Linked DNA regions of Coturnix japonica. The main gene of each other region encodes a partner of the protein of the gene in region 3 in a complex. Links are inferred from orthologs where the notes say so. Each region holds a gene or a part of one and is shown on either strand. Other genes may lie near its edges. The genes, in order: LATS1, LATS2 and NF2.

Region 1 (3,649 bases), on a different chromosome or scaffold from region 3:
GGTTGGACGGGGCCCTGGGCAATCTGGGCAATCTGATCTAGTAAATGTGTGTGTTTGGTGGCCCTGCCAGGCAGGGGGGTTGGAACTACATGATCCCTGAGGTCCCTTCCAACCCGGGTCATTCTGTGATTCTGTGTATTATATCCGAGGAATGATACTCAGATCTCAGTCATTTTTACCCCTAGTTGTTGTGATACTTGTATTTTTTTCTGTCATGTGCCATTTAGGAATCAGTGAACTTTTGTTGACTTAAAGTTGAATGCTCAACTTTATTCAACAGTCGACTCTGAAGATGTTTTAAATCCACAGTATAGGTGTGAGGGGAAAAAATGGTAAATCAAGAGCAGCAACATACAGCATTTATTCTCAGCCTGTGATGCAGAACTAGTTGGTGCTTGTCTGAAGCAGCTAGCTAAATGCTATTACTGAGCTATAATTTTCATTATTACTCGCAAAGTTATCATAGTTAGCATGTTCTTTTTCTGAACTGATAGAAATGCTCTTTTATCTTTTGTAAAAGCAGGGACTGTGCAGCAGTCAGTTAACCGCAAGCAGAGCTGGAAGGGTTCTAAGGAATCCTTAGTTCCTCAGAGGCACGGCCCTTCCCTGGCGGATGGAGTAGTTTATCGCTCGGAAAGTCCCAGCTCTCAGCCTGATGTAGGAAGGCCGCTATCTGGATCTGGCATTGCAGCGTTTGCTCAGGCTCACCCTGGCAATGGACAAAGAGTGAACCCCCCGCCACTCCCCCAGATCAGGAGCGTCACGCCACCTCCTCCACCTCCTCGAGGGCAGACACCCCCTCCCAGAGGAACCACGCCACCACCGCCTTCCTGGGAACCGAACGCTCAGACAAAGCGTTACTCTGGGAACATGGAATATGTCATCACCCGTATTTCTCCAGTGCCACCAGGTGCATGGCAGGACAGTTATCCACCTCCGCCGATGAATCCGCCACCCATGAATTCTTCCACTCAGGGTCAGAGAGCCATGAGTGCTGTCCCCATTGGAAGGCAACCAATAATCATGCAGAGTTCTGCCAACAGCAAGTTTAGCTTTCCCTCAGGAAGGGCTGGAATGCAAAATGGTAATTGTCCAGCAGACTTCATAGTTCACCAGAACGTTGTGTCTGGGAACTCAGTCAGTCGCCAGCCACTTCCATACCCCATGAACTCAGCTAATAGGCAGAGTCCGACGGCACTACAGATGCAGGCAGGGGGATCTGCTCCCCCTTCAGCATACACCAATGGGAATCTTCCTTCAACAATGTTGGTGCCAAATAGAAATAGTCACAACATGGAACTTTATAATACGAATGTAGCTGGAATACCTGCATCCTGGTCACAGCCTCCACCCGTGCAGCCACAGTCATCACCTGGCAATGGGCATGAAATCCCTGCATGGCAACCCAACCTTCCAGCACGGTCAAATTCTTTCAACAACCATCATGGAAATAGACAGGGTCACGCTAGCAGCTCTCAACCTTCAGCCACTACGGTAACTGCTATCACGCCAGCTCCTATTCAGCAGCCAGTGAAAAGTATGCGTGTGTTAAAGCCAGAGCTGCAGACTGCATTAGCACCAACTCACCCTTCCTGGATGCCACAACCAGTACAAACCATTCCGCCCATTCCCTTCTCCGAGGGTCCATCTTCAAACATGGCTGTTATGCCACCTGTGGCAGAGGCTCCAAATTACCAGGGTCCACCCCCACCTTATCCCAAACACTTATTACACCAGAGTCCATCTGTCCATCCTTACGAGACTGGACCCAAGCTTAACAAAGAGGAACCACCCATTTCATCTAAGGAGGAAGAGAATGAAAAGAATTATGAATGTGTTGATTCAGCAGACAAAGAAAAGAAACAAATTACAACATCGCCCGTTCCTGTTAGAAAAAATAAGAAAGATGAAGAACGGCGAGAGTCTCGTATTCAAAGCTACTCCCCTCAGGCTTTTAAGTTCTTCATGGAGCAGCATGTGGAGAATATACTTAAGTCACATCAGCAGCGTTTACATCGGAAGAAACAACTGGAGAATGAAATGATGCGGGTAAACCCTTTCTCATAAGTTTTTGACTAGAATTGTCTTTATGTTAGGACACGTAGTACGGATGCACAGAACACGGTGGTACAGCATGGTGCTGAGGGCTGGCTTTAGTTTTTCGTATTTCAGATGTGGCAGTTTCTTTATTACTTTGCTTACATACTTCATTGTCTTCTTAGAAATCAGTTTAGTGACATATGGTTTCTGTGTGTCTAAACACAGCTCATAATTGGTAAAGCAGAAGCAGCAGAATTTCTGTATGAACTGAGATTTAACTACTTGGCTTATCGCTTATTTTATGGATTCTGTTTAATCCTGATTTTTTTTGAGTGAGCTCTGTGCAATGTTTTAATGGTTTGTATATACGTGTATAAGCAAACATTGCAGGGGCGAGTTGGTTCGCTTTTTATATAATCACTTGAACAGTGGTATCTTTTACAGCTTGTTCCCACTAAGATGGTTTTTGACATTCCTACCTTAAAAAAAGAAAAAACATAAAAAAGTGTATATTTCTAAAATATCTTCTATAATTCAGACTCTAAGGGTGTCTGTTCAAACAAGGTGTAACTCAGTGGGGTGATAACAAACACACACCTGCAAGAATATATAGAAGCAATTTCTTTGCACTTACTTGAAGTCAGTTCTGTTCCCGAGATTTCGTGTTCTGTGAAACTAAAAGTGTTAAAGAAGCAGGTGATGTGTGTATGTGTAATTTCAGAAGTGAAAATCATGAGAAGTAGATTATCGAGACCCGCAGAAATGAAGACTTGAGATGCATTTTATATATTCTTAGCAGCTGTAGTTGAAAATTGGACGTAATTGTGATGTGCCTTTTACAAATGTACTTGGCTAATGCTTTCTTGAAATGCTGCTTTATTTTATTGAAGTGTTTACTCTTTGAAAGTTCCTTCTGTAAGCTATAGTGTTTTATGTTTGGTTAATCATAAGACATGTGAATGTTAGCAACATTTCCTGAAGTTCTTTCTAGATCTTTATTCTTAGTTTTCTCTCTTTCCTTTTCACTTCCACTAACAGCTGATTTAAACTGTTAAGGTGTGGGAAGCTTTCCTGAACTCTGTAGCCTCCATCCCTGTGTAGGCAAGTAAGATTTTTGGAGCAACAGTATTTATTATTAAAGAGTAGCATGATCCCTTTTTAGAGGTCTTTGCATGCAATCCTGCATCAAAATTAAGCATGTATTTTATTTTGACTATTTTTGAGTACTGAAAAGTAAGATTATAACTCATGTTGATTTGCAAACTTCACTTTCCCTCCTTCCTGTGTTGTTCCGTAGTATCAGAATCATGTCTTACTTAAGCGAAGACACTGATTGTAAGCTTTCTTGAATGTTTTCTGTGTACATTTAAAGCACATAAGTGAATGTCTTTTTTTTTTTATGTGACATATTTATAATTTTGATCAATATTTATAATATTGATGCTAGATTAAAAGTTGGGATGTTTGATTGCAGACTGAAGCAGGGGAAATGCAGTATTACACTGCGGCAAGACTCTCCTCTTTCATCAGGTTAAAGGACAGAATTTCCACAATAGTGAAGTATATTTGAGGTCTTTGTGAGAAGGGGAAAGGGTAGTTAGTTCACTGC
Region 2 (3,649 bases), on a different chromosome or scaffold from region 3:
ACACTTTTGCACTTCCGTGTCAGACACCATTGTGTCAGACTGCCCCTCTGCTGCCACCTGTTGCACAGCAACAAAATGCAATGGAATATTGGTGGGAAGGTTCAACTCCTACTACCATCCCACCAACATCTGTCTCTGATGTTGTAGACCCAGGTAACAAAATAAGAGGCACTACTTTCAGAGCAGCTCTTGTATTCCAACACCCATCTCAGGATGATAAAAACAAGCATCTCTGTGCTGAATTCCTTATCTGAGACAGGACTACCCTCCCTTGGTGGAAGCAAAGAAGGTAAGGAAGAAAATGCATGCATCCAATTACACTTGTTCCTTGCAAACAGCAAGCAAGCTTCTTCAAAGAATACATACATCGTTCTTTTCATTTGCTTCTGACAGCAAGTGGAGTTTAGACATATAGAATCACAGAATCACAGAATGACCCGGGTTGGAAGGGACCTCAAGAATCATGTAGTTCCAACCCCCCTGCCTCGCAGGGCCACCAAACTTCCACAATTACTAGATCAGGTTGCCCAGGGCCCCGTCCAACCTGGTCTTGAACACCTCCAAGGACGAGGCATCCACAACCTCCCTGGGCAGCCTGTTCCAGGGCCTAACCACTCTCCTAGTAAAGAATTTTCCCCTGACATCCAACCTAAATCTTCCCTCTTTCAACTTAAATCCTTTTCCCCTTGTCCTGCTATTGTCAGCCCTTTCGAAGAGTTTAATCCCCTCCTGGATATAGGTTCCTTTCAGACATATTAGACAGAATTCCACCCTAATACTCACAGATAGAACTTGCTACAGTATTGAGAAGGGAAAAAAAAAAAAAACCCAACAAAAACATGCTGCCCTGTTAAGCCTTATACATCAAATGAAGAAATTACAGAAGTCCTAGAGGTCACCACAACCATCTTCATAACACGAATTAACCTCACACTAGACATGCCTCTCAACAGCAAGTTCATCTGCTCAGCTATTCACACAGCAATACGACTGCCAAAAGAGTTGGTGCATTTTTTACAACCAGTAAACTTGATAACCATTATCAACATTGTTACCTCAGGACCAAGCATAAACTTATTTTGATCACAGTGACAATTCCCCTCTCTTCCAACTCATACGTACCTGATCACAACCCGCATTCACCAGCTCCTGGAGCATCTGCCTATTCACTTCAACAGCTGCTGTATTGCTCGACTCATTAGCAAAAGGTAGCAAAGAATACCTAATTTCTCGCAGAGCTTTCTGATAAGGTCCAAACTTTGCCGTTTGTCTCATCTGCTGCTGCCTTGCAGCATCCTTCCCTACTAAAATCTTAGGGTCCAGAGAAGTTTCACTGCCTGGTCCAATAGGCAGCCCCTGACCTGAAGATTTGGATGGCTGCTTTAAACCTTCTCGAATCTCTTGTAACCTTTGTCTGCTGTTTCCAGAATACGTTGTAGCAGGAAAAGTCTTTGGCCTCATTGTTAATCCAGTTTTCTCTGAGCATAAATACAGCTTTATTCTTGGTAGTTTTTTTTTAGCTACTTTATTTCTAAGAAGTGTCGCTTCACGGTATCAATTTCTTGTAAACATAAATCCTTCAAAGGGAAAAAGAAAAATGGCAAAATCCTCAAGAGGTTCCTGCCAGCATTTTACTTCAGCTCACAGTCTTCACATCTCCTACAGAAAATCCTTGGAGTCATCATTTCACAAACCGACGGCGTCTGAAACAAAAGCAAACAGAAAGCACGCGTAATTAAGTTGATATTGTAAACACCTCCAAAGGGACAACATGACAATTAATCAAGTGAAAGTGAATCAGTTTAACCTTATTAAGCTGTTGCAGCTTAATGCATTAATGATGATTATCACTTTATCTGTTTTCAAGAATAGGATTTCAAAAGGCTTTCTCGACATCATCAAAAAAAGCATTTTTCTTCAAGGCCTTGTTTTGAAAATAAATGAAAATAAAAACCTCAGAAACTACAAAGCTTGAGAATTTCATACACTACCTAATTGTGGCAGGTTTCCCACCCCATTGCATAACCAAACCCTGGACAAGCCTATCCTGTTTCATAATTAGGGAAGAGCATGCTCATGAAACGTTTTTCCCCCACTTCAGATTTTGTTTGTTTTACACAAGCTGAGCTCAGTTTCAAGAGTTTATGAAAAAGCCTTATAATGGAAATATTGATGATTCTAACCATAGCAACTTCTAGCATTTTAATAACAAAGTGACAAGATATTTTGCCATTCCACATGAACGTTCTTGCCAATGTTGAAGGTAAGAATTGCCCCTCTCCCAGTTCCAGGGGGTTTATTTTATTTCTTTGTATTATTGCTATTATTAAAGGGTGCAAGGGCGAGGGAATCAAAAGGGTGATGCATACTTTAACTGTGCCTGACAAGAAGACAGGGAAGGAGCTACTCAGTAACAGCACAAAAAGCTGAAGAAGTTCAGACCGCTCACATAAGATTAAAACACAGCTGTGATACAGCCTCACAGCCCTCTTATGATACACAGCAGAGGTCAGCTATACAACTATGGAGCAGAACTGAGCTACTCTGCAACTTGTGACACCTTTACAGCACTGAGAGGTAATCAGAATTCTTTATTTACTGAGTCTTCGTGGCATTGACAAGTGACAGGACGAGGGGAAACGGCCTCAAGTTGCGCCAGGGCAAGTTTAGGTTGGATATTAGGAAGAACTTCTTTACAGAAAGGGTAGTTAGGTACTGGAATAGGCTCCCCAGGGAGGTGGTTGAATCGCCATCCCTGGTTGTGTTTAAGAGCCGTTTGGATGTGGTGCTCAGGGATATGATTTAGTGTAGGGTTGTTAGAGTTAGGGTACTGGTTAGCTGGGTTGGACTTTGATGATCTTCAAGGTCTTTTTTTCCAACCTGGGTAATTCTATGATTCCATGACTGTTACATGCCAAACATTACATACAGATGCATTTCAGAAAAAGGATTAAAAAGAAGCATCACATAGCACTGATGCTACAAGTTTGTTTCTGCCACCAGTACCAACATCTGCACAGTGACTTTACCCTGCTGCTCCATTGAGAAAGCTCAGAATTTCGGGTCCAGTTGTTTTGAAGCCACAAACAGAAGCTGGTGAAGTTCTGCTATCGTTGGTCACTCAGAAGCAAAGCGGACCTTCTTTCTCAGCCCTCATTATAAAGGGGCTTCACAGCCTGCAGTATTACTATTATTAATACATCATGAAAAGCTTCTCCAGAAAGCATTCTAGTCATACACTCCACCCACTGCAATAACTGTTCCTGTGACAGCTACAGCGTTTCCAACAAAACAACCATTTCTATACAACTTACTACCACCCCTCACAGACAAGCAAACAGATAACTACCTGAAAGCCAGGAGTCCGCACATACCCCTTGAAGCCCATCATCACCTCCTCACTGGCACGTGGGCTACTGTCAAGAGAGTCAAGTTCTCCACTAAACCAAGAACTGAGTACAGGGCAAATTACAGCCAAGTCACAGATCACAGAATGAACCCGGGTTGGAAGGGACCTCCTCAAGGATCATGTAGTTCCAACCCCCTGCCTGGCAGGGCCACCAAACATACACCTTTTACTAATAGGTTGCCCAGGGCCCTGTCCAACCTGGTTTGAACACCTCCAAGGACGGGGCACCACAACCTCCTG
Region 3 (3,649 bases):
CTGCCACTGCCTTCACTTTGCTACCTGAAGACTTGGGCAGGCCCTTCATATCCCAAAGAATCACAGAAGAGATGACTGCCTTTAGTCTTGCTGTGACTGGTACCTGAATGGCAGCAAAGGAGGCAGGAGGCACTGCCAAGTCAGTAAGGAATGAATTGTTCTCCCAGCATTGGCGGCCTGAAACTCAGGTTTGTTTTTTCTTTCCTGTGCATTATCCACCACCACCATCACAAAAGCAGTTTTGGCTTCAAGGTCTAAAAAGACACCTGAACAAGTTCTAAAAAGCCAGTACAAGGAACTGGAAAATTACCAAAGAAAAATTTTAACTGCTTCTTGTCATTTCTGTAACACATCCATCCTCTCCTCCCTTCCTCTTTTGCTTGTTTCCCAGGAGGGAAGTTCTGGCTTGCACTCCATGCCAGGGGACTACAGCACAAACTCTGGGAGAAAGAAAAATAACAAGCTCAGCGTTACACCCTCATTAAGGAAGAGAAGAGCTGGAATCTGGTACCGTTTGGCAGAGCTGCCATTCACCTGAGGGACACCAGCCTCCCAGCAGCAGCTTTCAAAACCCTTCATCCCTCAGGCCACTTTGGGTTTATTCCCTCTCTGCTACTGCGCCTGCCCAGCACAGTCCCTTCAGCCCAATCCTGCGCAGGAGAAGCATTTCAGCACATCTCACTCATCTGTCCCAAAGCACTCACGTGGCAGAGTGAGAGACGCTACAAAGGAAGAGAAACATGAGGCAGGTGTAACAAGGGATGGAGATGGGGTGCTTCACACACAAGGGCCCAGCAAGTTACTGTCACATGGATACAAGTCTAACAGACATAAGACAGCCAGCTGGCCTTGGAAAAGCAACAGACATTGCGTCTGTGTGATGCAGTGCTGCTCCCATGGCTGGGAGGGGGCAAGAAGAGCTATGAGAGGGGACTCTGTCATCTAAATGGGGAGAGAAAAAGGCAAGCCACAGCTCTTTGAGGAAAGGAGGATACAGCACTTTGTGACTGGAGGCGGCAGCTCTGCACAGATTGCCTCTAGGACAGATGCAGCTGGAGGGGTGGAGCTGAGCTCCATGCAATCCTGCACTACCTCCTGTAATTAGGCTTTAACTCCACAGGCAGGAATACAGTCACGCTGCTGATCGCTAGTGCGGGCAGCACAGGGATTTATGCACAAGAGCTCACTAGCTGTGGTTCTGCTCGTTTGACTAAGGATGAGCACAGCCACGTGAGGGAACCTGGATGTGAGAGCTCTGCCCAGACATCAGCACTGGGCTGATGTAGCCATTCAGTAGGTTTCCAACAAGTATGCTCCACCCTGTGAGTAAATTAAGCTCAGAATTCACAAACTGGTGGATCCCAGAACCCTGCAGCAACATAAGGAGCTCTCCAAAGATAAGGTTTAGAAAGCATCAAGCCTTACAGCACTTGACTGAAGGCCCTGAGGCTAAAAACACCCGACTATTTTCCATCGTTGCCGTTTCTTAAACGCTTCTGAATGTTTCTGCAGGGATCTTCAGAGAATCTGGATGAAAAGCTTCTTCATCACTAACCCTCTTCAATCTGCTTCCCAGAAGTTTTGAGGGGAGAGGGAGGAAAGGAGCTAACACGTACAAATTAAAGCTTCAGTACTAGACAGGTCAGTAACTCCCACGTATGTCTGTTGAGTTTATTCCTGAAGATGTCAAGTTCTTCCCCCTTCACCTCTCTGGACAAAGTGCAGCAGCAAAGGCAGTCATGGCAGGTGCAAGCTGTGGGGAAGGAGCGCCTGATGGCATCTGCAGGTCCTGCAGCACAATTAGGGAAGCTGAGGAAAGGAACTGCCAGACAGAATGGGAGCAGTGGTCTTTTAGTCTGGTGTTTCAGTCCCTGGCAGCAATCAGGACCAGATGCTTCAGAGGAAGGTGTGAAATCCTCTTAATGGGCAATTACAGAACACTCCCCCTTCAATGAAGTTGGTTTTTCAGCACATAGATGCACAGAGACCAGTTTATGCCTGAGAATGAATTCACAGATTTGGAACAATATTCATTCTTCCTAACAAGTATCAGACCATCCTCAGTTCTGTATTTAATCCTATTTTAAAAGCTCTTACAGAGCTGGTCAACTCCACATGCAAAGCACGGCACGTTTCTTAGATTACTTTACAGTTTGTTGCATTTAATTCCATCGGCAGCTCTCTGGCCTTTGTAGAATAAAGCAAGATAGATAGGGGGAAAAAGGTGAGCAAAGCGTTCTGGTGGACAAGTTACTTAGACGAAAAGGGCAAGTGCTCCTAAGTATTACAGAACAGCTACTAAGCAATACAGTGAGATGATTCATACCCCCCTACTGATGGGATAGAGACACAAGACTGCTCTAGACTACGGAGGATGCCAGTTACTGTCTGGAAACTAGCAATGACAATACTGATGATTCTTACCGTGTAGGATGACTTGCTGGTGATTTCCAAAAGCTTCTGCTTTGCTCTCCGCTCAGACTCTCGAGCCTCCTGAAGGTCCTGCTTTAGCTGATCAGCCTCCTTTGCCCTACCAAGGAAGAACAGCAAAAGGCAATGTTAGGTCCAAGTTTGGAGGCTGATAAACATGATTACACCATAGGTGTAAAACAGGTAGAGAGTTATCCCTTAGCAAGGCCTAAACAAAGAAATCATTTGGGTAAGGGAAACACTGGAACCTCTGACATGTAGGACACTAACTAGCACAAAAATCCACGCCATAGAAGGACAGCTCTGGCACGAACTCTGCATGAGCAGCAGTAAGCAAAGCTAAGGGGTGGAGCAGCACATCAGAATGCCAGGAGAGGAAAAGACCCATAAGTTGAGCTCCCTTCAGCTGTTGCTGTCAGGGCGTGAAAGGCAGAGCACCAGGGCCCTCTAGGTGATGTCCCCTTTCCCTGTTCCTTTCACCATAGCATCAACCCTTCCAATAAAAGGGCTTCAAAGAAGGGACGTCTGATCAAAGAAAAATCAGGGCCACCACTGTTCTACCTGTACCATTTCCTATGCAGGGATAGCCTAGTTGTGGCAAACAGCAAAACAGAGAGAAATCAGCTGAGCCTTGGGGTCAGTTGCTGTTGTGCATGCAGGGGAGGCCAAGGACTCACTGCAAACTCTGAACTACCTCAAGGTGAGCCACAGTTTTGCTAAGTCAGAAGGGGGCTGGAAAGCAAAGCAGAGACAGCTGCAAGGTTGTACCCTCTGACCTCCTCTCTGACTCCTCCGCCATTTTCAGTGCCAACATCTCAGCTTCTAGCACCTTCTGTTCCATCAGTCGCTTCTCCTCCTCCGTCCGAATGGCCGTGGCTTTGATTCGCTGCATCTCTTGCTCAGCCTCTGCTGCTTTCTGAGCCAGGAGCTTTGCCTCCTCCTCCGTGATCTGAGCCTTCTCAGCCAGCAAATCAGCTGTCTCTTCAGACCTCATCTGAGAATAAACACATGTTAAGTCAGCAAGCACACAATGTCCCCTCGAATGTGCTCTCAAGCCTGGAGCAAGGCCCCAAACTGAACATTCCACATGACCATCGTGGCTCACCAAGTCCCCCTCTCTTCCATGAAAGCCTGCAGCTTCCTGCAGCCAAAACCTGGACACAGCAAGGCTCCGTCCCAACTCATTCTCCTTTGTGCTCCTTTATCAGCAGACTGTCTG

What was found.
Region 1: the proteins of NF2 (region 3) and LATS1 are in contact, whole or in part, in a crystal structure (PDB 7LWH), measured with the Homo sapiens proteins. The link is inferred for Coturnix japonica from reciprocal best matches to the Homo sapiens genes NF2 and LATS1. Residues at the interface, in NP_000259.1 of Homo sapiens: Pro135, Glu136, Ala137, Val139, Leu140, Tyr144, Asn175, Leu176, Tyr177, Gln178, Met179, Met183, Trp184, Arg187, Trp191, Glu206, Ile210, Asp213, Leu214, Glu215; in NP_004681.1 of Homo sapiens: Pro69, Lys70, Phe71, Gly72, His74, Ala77, Leu78, Glu80, Ile81, Arg82, Ser84, Leu85, Phe88, Ala89, Asn90.
Region 2: the proteins of NF2 (region 3) and LATS2 are in contact, whole or in part, in a crystal structure (PDB 4ZRI), measured with the Homo sapiens proteins. The link is inferred for Coturnix japonica from reciprocal best matches to the Homo sapiens genes NF2 and LATS2. Residues at the interface, in NP_000259.1 of Homo sapiens: Pro135, Glu136, Ala137, Val139, Leu140, Tyr144, Asn175, Leu176, Tyr177, Gln178, Met179, Trp184, Arg187, Trp191, Glu206, Lys209, Ile210; in NP_055387.2 of Homo sapiens: Tyr73, Ala76, Leu77, Glu79, Ile80, Arg81, Ser83, Leu84, Leu85, Phe87, Ala88, Asn89.

The regions. Positions count from the first base shown.
Region 1 is NC_029518.1:43,379,077-43,382,725, reverse strand, and holds part of LATS1 (serine/threonine-protein kinase LATS1), read left to right. Parts: intron 1-520; coding exon 521-2,049; intron 2,050-3,649. UniProt on the Homo sapiens protein: Negative regulator of YAP1 in the Hippo signaling pathway that plays a pivotal role in organ size control and tumor suppression by restricting proliferation and promoting apoptosis.
Region 2 is NC_029516.1:159,812,332-159,815,980, reverse strand, and holds part of LATS2 (serine/threonine-protein kinase LATS2), read right to left. Parts: intron 1,704-3,649; 5' UTR 1,462-1,703; coding exon 1,123-1,461; intron 1-1,122. UniProt on the Homo sapiens protein: Negative regulator of YAP1 in the Hippo signaling pathway that plays a pivotal role in organ size control and tumor suppression by restricting proliferation and promoting apoptosis.
Region 3 is NC_029530.1:9,885,844-9,889,492, forward strand, and holds part of NF2 (merlin), read right to left. Parts: intron 3,425-3,649; coding exon 3,207-3,424; intron 2,531-3,206; coding exon 2,425-2,530; intron 1-2,424. UniProt on the Homo sapiens protein: Probable regulator of the Hippo/SWH (Sav/Wts/Hpo) signaling pathway, a signaling pathway that plays a pivotal role in tumor suppression by restricting proliferation and promoting apoptosis.